2 linked regions of the Xenopus tropicalis genome follow. The protein of the gene in region 1 interacts with the protein of each later gene in a pairwise test. Links are inferred from orthologs where the notes say so. Each region holds a gene or a part of one and is shown on either strand. Other genes may lie near its edges. The genes, in order: rapgef4 and swap70.

The links.
Region 2: the proteins of rapgef4 (region 1) and swap70 interact in a two-hybrid assay, tested with the Homo sapiens proteins (2 studies listed by BioGRID and IntAct). The link is inferred for Xenopus tropicalis from reciprocal best matches to the Homo sapiens genes RAPGEF4 and SWAP70.

What each region holds. Positions count from the first base shown.
Region 1 is NC_030685.2:67,123,747-67,128,061, reverse strand, and holds the start of rapgef4 (rap guanine nucleotide exchange factor 4), read left to right. Parts: upstream 1-1,512; 5' UTR 1,513-1,796; coding exon 1,797-1,861; intron 1,862-4,315.
Region 2 is NC_030680.2:7,061,233-7,065,055, forward strand, and holds part of swap70 (switch-associated protein 70), read left to right. Parts: intron 1-590; coding exon 591-737; intron 738-2,486; coding exon 2,487-2,595; intron 2,596-3,823.

The sequences.
Region 1 (4,315 bases):
CTGCCCAATCCTGAGCTTTAGGCTGATGCCCCTCATAGCGACTCAAAATGCCTTTCCACTGGCAACAATAGGACTTGTTGGTGGAAAGGGCTATGTATCGCTTTGGGTTTCCATAGTTGCCTGCACAGGCGGCTCCCATTGTTGCTGGTGTAAAGGTATTTTGGAGTGGTTAGTCCCCCGTGATAGATCGCTGCTATCTCCTGCAGGCAACTCACTCTGTGGGGCATCAGCCTTACCCTATAAATCAGCAAGGTGATCAATCTGCTATTCCTATGCACGGTAATCTACTGGAAAAAGGGCTAGGTTGAAAGTCCTTTGCACAGGGTCAAAAAATCCCAGAACGAGTCCTTTTCCCGTTGAATCCAGTAGAGTGTTGCAGTTCTGCCAGTTCATGCATTTACCAGCAGGTTCCTTGTTGTATGGCTAAATCATAAGATCTTCTGCTTGTCCAAGCCATCCGAGTATCCTGTCCTGAGCTCCAGTTCCTGTTTCCAAGTTCTTGCTTCTAAGTTCCTGTTTATAAGAATAAAAGACCCGGGCCTAGGGTGGCACAAATTCAGGGGTGGCATGCCGGAGATCTCTATGCGCCCTAAGCTCCAGATTTAGGAGCATGCATGCAGTCCTGTGGGAGGGGTGGGGAGCAGCTGAGGATGCCGGCCTCTGGGCACCAGGAAGAGAAATCCAGTCCTGTTTATCTGCAACCCTCCACAACCTTGTGTCTTTTTTATAGACTTTGTTTTTTCTGTCTGCTCCTTACATTTCAACTAGGGTCCCTGTGATTCGATTTCTCATTATTAAACCATTGCTCAATGCAATTCATGTTAGTCCTCACAACTAGCTTAAAGGGCACCTGTCACCCAGAAATAGTTTCCCACACCAGAGGTTGGGGGAAACAATAGTTAGGGAAAAAAAATATTGCCCCCATCAGTGCTAGGCCACCTGCATGGGGAGGGCAGCCATGTTGTATAGCATGCATATGCATAACAAGTGAGTCTCCCTGCTCGCTCATTATGTGTAAGCATCTAAAGTAAACATGGTGGATGCACCTCAAAAGTTTATGTCACGCACATCCGCATAATGAGTGATTTGTGGCATATATATATATATATACAGTATATATATATATATACACATACATACCCACAAAGGAAAATGAGTTATTTTGCTCTTTGTGCCTTACAGTCATTAATCATAATATTAAAGCCATCTTTCCTGCTAGTATGCTATTTATTCTATTCATAATTAAATTAAACCTGCACACACTATATATATATATACATATATATATATAGCGAGAGAGAGCTGTACCCCTGGGGAGAGAGCACAGGCAGGGAATTAATGACTCGCTGAGCTCCAACAGGATGTGAATGTGCAGCACCAAATTGATCCGCCTGCCAGCTAAGCCAATAAAGCAAACCTATTTTGATATTTCTACTGGAAAAAGATTGTACCATATGAGTTACTGTAGCCAGTGCTTGCAGCACCTCAGCCCATCCCCCTGCCTTTTGCCTCTGTCTCCCTGTAGAAGAGTTGGAGCGGAGGCACTGGAGGAGGGCTGCAGCGGTGCTCGCATTGTGCTCTTGCAGTGTCAGTGGCATCCTGCCTGGGATGTGGTACATGTGATACAGCATCAGCGCTGCAGCCTTCTTCCTGGGAACTGATTGCTGGCTGCCTGGCACTCAGCTCTCTTAGTTTGGAAACTGACCCTCCCTCAGCACTTTGGGAGCAGAGCAGGATAATAGATATATTTTTATTTTCCCTTTTCCTTACAAGACTGAGCTGGCAGAGCTCCCATCATGGTGGCTGCACACACTGCCCATTCTACCTCCTCTGCTGAATGGATTGCCTGCTTAGATAAAAGGTACTCTCCCCTGCCAGACCCTGCATGCAGTGTGCGAGTGTGTGTACGAGTGTGTGTTTGTGCATGCTAATCAGCCTGCCGCAGGGAAGAATGCAACAAGGCAGCTCTTACATACAAGCATGCATTGTGTTCCATTCATTTTCAGTTAATGAATGGGGTATATGAAAATACTCAGTATGTATAACTCAGTATGTATAACCCTCCATTGTCACTCTCCTGTCTGCTTGTTCCTGGGGGCTGAGCTTTGCATTATTCATGCATGGAAAATCAATATATTCTTCATGAGAAATCTTTTGTAAGAGGAGACGAGCAGGGTCTAACATGCTCCATTCTGGCCTCTAGGCAGACAGTGTCAGACTGTCAGGGATGCTGGGTGTTAGTCTTGTTCTATGATATTGTGCCTGAGACCTAAAAAATCTTCTTGAGCAATATAAATGGGTACCACCCCCCAGCAGTTTAAAATAGTGGTATTGGAACTACTGCTCACAGTATATTTATAAAATAGACTGTGTGTTCTTGCAGTTGCATGCACTGCACACTCTATTCCTCAACCAACCCACCGGAGTCATTCTGCTTGGCCTAAGATCTCAGTTATTGGGCATTTGTCATTATCTCCAATATTTTTCTGATGAAGCCCAGATTTGGTCTAGAAGGTCATCTACTTGATCCAGCATTTACATATATCATTTTTAGAAATAGGAGATACTGACACCATTTCAAAAACCATATGTAGCTCATAATTTATTTTGTATTTAATTTCCAAAAACGAAAGACATAAAGCACCCAGGGCCGGAACTAGGGGTAGGCAAAAGAGGCACATGCCTAGGGCACAACAATAGAGGGGGGTAGTGCCAGGAAGGTACCTCTCCTGCCCACCACTAATACATGCTCTCTTGCCTCTCTCCCGCGATGCACTTTCCCCTGCGACATCACTGGGCATGCACGTGGTTCTTTACGCACACATGTGGGGGGGAAGGTGCAGGGGCCCGGTTGACTTGGCCTGTCCCTGAGGCTACCCCTGTGGTGGGTCAAATCAGACTGATCGGATTATTTGCCCCAGGGTCAATGATTGGATAATAATATAGATTATGCAGGCCCCTGGCGGATGGGGTTGTCACCCAATTGTATTTTCAAACCTGCCAGATAGATATCTGCCCCATCTGACTTGCCATATTATAACATTGAGATTGCCATAAGTAAAACCCATTATGGTGATCTGGCTAAGAGAATGAAGGCATTTTACAGTTATTAAGCCAGATCGCCACGAGTATTGGGTTTTAGCTGCAGCGATCTTAATGTTATAATATGACATGTCAATTTCGGGAGGTTTGTTGCCCGTGGTAGCGCAGACTTAATGCAGACGAACAAGTACTTTCAACTTAGGGCAGAGATCCCCAACCTTTTATACCCGTGAGCAACATTAAATGGAAAAAGTGCTGGGGAGCAACACAAGCATAAACAAAAGATCATGGGGGTGCAAATATGAGCTATAATTGGCTATTTGGCAGCCCCTATGTGGACTGGCAGCCTATAGAAGGCTCTGTTAGACTTTTACTTTTCTGTTTTATGCAATCAACACTTGCCTCCAAGCCAGAAATTAAAAAATAAACACCTACTTTGAGGTCACTGGGAGCAACATCCAAGGAGTTGGTGCACAACATGTTGCTCACTGACTAAGGGTGATGGCACATGGTAAGATTTGTTGCCCACGGTTAAATCTCCATCACCATAAGGGACAGTAAGGAGGTTATGTAATAAAAGGTACAAAGTTTGCCCAAGACCAGTAACCCATAGCAACCAATCAGCAGGTAGAATTTACTGGTCACCTGTTTAAAAAAAACATCCTATTGGTTGCTAGGGTTACTGCTCCTGGGCAATCTGCAGTAGGGCAGGTTCACTGCGGCCAACAAATGTCATCTGCCATGGCGCTAAGTCAGTAATTCTTACATCCTTTCATGCAGGGTTTGGTGGCCTCCAGTCACAGAGCATCATAATCCAATTGCCTAGGCCATAAAGCTGGTTCCTACATCTAGTTCTGGCCCTGCCTCTTTATTAATTTGTATGGATCTGGAAACATCCAGGGGTAATGCAAAGGGTTGCCACCTTTTTCTGTGACTAATACCAGCCTTCAGGTTGGGGGGGTGGAATGTGATGTAATTTGGGGAGGGGCTATGACATAAGAGGTGGGGAATGGGAGGGCTGGGTGATGAAAGGTTGGTTGGGCCAGTTAATGGGTGGGAAATGGACAGATTGGGCAGGGCTATTGGCAGAGGTAGGTCCATAGTTATAAAGGGTGATTGGCAGCAGAGAGGGTCAGGGAACAGAAGGATTTATATGACTTTACAAATTTCAATTGGAAATTTACCAGCTAGTCTAGTCAAATACCATCCAGGTGGCAACTCTAGTTGTGCAGAGAGCAGCTCCAAATTATTATGATTTCAGGACAGATATAAT
Region 2 (3,823 bases), on another chromosome or scaffold:
GTCCCATTTGATGCCCCTCATAAATAAGAAAGGTGGCGCTGGTCTATTACAGTCCTATGGGGACTGTCCGGTTTCAATATGTGGTGGAAAGAGGTACTGCAGTCCCTCTCAGCAAGTCTATTCACTCCCAAACATAAACCGCAACACCTTGGACCTTCCAGTTGACTGAAGCCCACCTTGAAGGCCACTTAGGGTGAGATTTGGGGTAAATATGGATTTTCTACCCTAGACATTCTTGGAACTATGACTAAATGACTGAAATACCAAGATTTTCCCATATCTGTACTTATGGGGGCCCTGCTATAGGCAAATAAATAGAGCGTTGAGGTTGGACTATAGAGTTGCCAGCAGCTTGTCCATGTTTTGGCTTGTGTAGGGGGTCAATATCTGCCCTGTGGGTTTATACCCGTGGAAATGGCCACCAACGCTGGACAAACTGGTTCTGATCAATTCAACGTATCGCCAGTGCCGTACCCCTTAGCAACCAGACCCATTTCCCACAATGCAAGGGCTTCATGCCACAAATGAGGGCAACTGGAAAGGGCGTCGTCCATGATTTTATTCCACCTTCATTTTTTTCCCCGCCACAGGGATATTTGTTGAAGAAAGGCCACAAGAGGAAGAACTGGACCGAGCGCTGGTTCGTGCTGAAGCCAAACATAGTAACGTACTATTGCAGCGAGGATCTGAAGGACAAAAAGGGGGAAATTATTCTGGATGAAAACTGCTTGGTGGAGGTAACTATGCTCACAGGGAAGGATGATGTTTAATATAAATTAATCTCATTGGCTGTAAGGCTGGTCACATGACAATGGCACATTCGATTTACCTCCCCCGACCTACTGTTGCTTTGCCCTACTGTTATAATTTTTTCCCTACTGGTGGTGTCTCATTCTACTGTTTCCATCGTGCCCTACTGTCTCCATCTTGTCCTACTGTCTCCATCCTGCCCTACTGTCACCATCTTGCCCTACTGTCTCCATCTTGCCCTACTGTCTCCATCTTGTCCTACTGTCTCCATCTTGCCCTACTGTCTCCATCTTGCCCTATTGTCTCCATCTTGCCCTACTGTCTCCATCTTGCCCTATTGTCTCCATCTTGTCCTACTGTCTCCATCTTGCCCTACTGTCTCTATCTTGCCCTACTGTCTCCATCTTGCCCTACTGTCTCCATCTTGTCCTACTGTCTCCATCTTGCCCTACTGTCTCCATCTTGCCCTACTGTCTCCATCCTGCCCTACTGTCACCATCTTGCCCTACTGTCTCTATCTTGCCCTACTGTCTCCATCTTGCCCTACTGTCTCCATCTTGCCCTACTGTCTCCATCTTGCCCTACTGTCTCCATCTTGTCCTACTGTCTCCATCCTGCCCTACTGTCACCATCTTGCCCTACTGTCTCCATCTTGCCCTACTGTCTCCATCTTGCCCTACTGTCTCTATCTCTATCATGTCCTACTGTCTCCATCTACTGCGGCCATCTTGTTCTGCTGTACCTATTATGAAGCAACACTGTTCTACTCTTCCTATCTTGCCCCATTGTCATCATCTTTACTGTAGCCATCTTGTTCTAGTGTTACCATATATCCCAAACCTGTCCTACTGTCACCAGGCCCGGACTATCGATTTATGGGTTCTGGCAAATTCCATAGGGGCTGCTGTAAGATGCTACAGAAAGTCACTATTTATTGGGCTGGAGGGGGGCTGTTTGGGCCTCTGGGTACTTGGAATGCCACAGTTTATTTGGACTCCCAGTCCAGACATGGCTACATTGTCCTACTGTTCTCATCATGCCTTAGTGTCTCCATCTTGCCCTACTTGTTCTACTGTTTCCTTCTTGCCCTTGTATCTGAATGTTGCCCTATTGCCCCACCCTGCACTACTTTTCCCATCTCTATTTACATCCTATAAATGATAATTCTTCTGCACCAGTTATTAAGGGTATTATAGTCGGGGCAACTGCCCAATGGGAACCTAAATGCTTTCTATTTCAGTATGTGCCTGTGGAACCAGATCTGGTTTGGGGGCTCTAGGTTCTCACTGCCCCCCCCCCCCCGGCTTGGGTTGGATTAATAATGTATAATCTCTTTAAACATCTCTATTTATGTCTTTGGCTCCGGCTTCAATAACTGTCAGGTCTCTTGTGTCACGTTAACGTCCCATTATCCTTTTTCATCTTCTCATGGATTATTCAGATGAACTGATGAACGCTTTAATCACAGTCCGGGGAGGCCGAGAGCTTCCTGCACACTCTGATTGGGCGTTTCTATCATATAATACTTGGGTTTCCATCAACTCCCTCTCTTTTTGTTGGACAAAGGAGCCATGGAGGGTATTGTGATGTCTCGTTACACCCAGCCCATCTCTTCTGACCTTACCAACGTATTCCACATAGCAACAAAGGAACCATCAGGGCCAGATTTGGCCCCCATGGAAACCAGAAAGACCGGAATAACCCTCTTCAATTCATGTCTCTTATATTTTACCTAGTCGTTGCCAGACAAAGAGGGGAGAAAGTGTCTCTTTGTGGTGAAATGCCTGGAGAAAAGTTACGAGATCAGTGCATCGGATAAAAAGAAGAAGCAAGAATGGATTCAAGGTGAGTGGTAAAACCAGGTATTGGAACAGGTTGGCCGGGGAAGTCCATGTCTTCTGATAATTAACATCCATGGCATTCTAGGGTGATAGTTCTCAGGTTTCTATGATGGGTCCAGGACTTATTTTCTATCCATAGGGGTATCCAGGTATCTAACAGTTACAGCCCCTGGTGTGCAACTAGGTCTGGTTCTACAGAAGGTATCCTACATCTTTTATCGTAGAGATGACACATAGATTGTCCAGTATTCAGAGCCATGGACCACCAGTGTCAGCCCTCTTTATTGAGTGCAAGTTTTTCAAAGCATCAAAGCATTCTCGTTTTCTACCCATAGGGGTATCTAGGTATTCAACAGTACAAACCCTGGTGCACGACTAGGTCTGGTTCTACATGAGTTGTCCTACATCTTTTATGATAGAGAAGACACATGTCTTTCCATAGACTTGTCCAGTATTCAGAGCCATGGACCACAAGTGTCAGCCCTCTTTATTGAGAGCAAGTTCTTCAAAGCATCAAAGCATTCTCGTTTTCTACCCATAGGGGTATCTAGGTATTCAACAGTACAGTCCCTGGTGCATGACTAGGCCTGGTTCTACATGAGTTATATCATAGAGAAGACTCATATCTTCCCATAGACCTGTCCAGTATTCAGAGCCATAAACCACCAGTGTCAGCCCATAGGGGTATCTAGGTATTCAACAGTAAAGCCCCTGGTGCATGACTCGGTCTGGTTCTACATGAGCTCTACATAAGTTGTCCTACATGTCTTTCCATAGACTTGTCCAGTTTTCAGAGCCATGTACCACCAGTGTCAGCCCTCTTTATTGAGAGCAAGTTCTTCAAAGCATCAAAGCATTCTCGTTTTCTACCCATAGGGGTATCTAGGTATTCAACAGTACAGTCCCTGGTGCATGGCTAGGTCTGGTTCTACATGAGCTCTACATGAGTTGTACTATATGTCTTACCATAGACTTCTCCAGTGTTAAGAGCCATGGACCCCCAGTGTCAGCCCTCTTTATTGAGAGCAAGTTCTTCAAAACATTTTCATTTTCTAATCATAGGGGTATTCACATATCTAACATGACTAGGTCTGGTTCTACAGGAGTTATTCTACAACTTATCATAGAGAAGACACATGTCTCTCCATAGACTTACTCAGTGTTCAGAACCATAGACCACCAGAGTCAGCCCTCTTTACTGAGAGCAGGTTCTTCAAAACAAGGTTCATTAC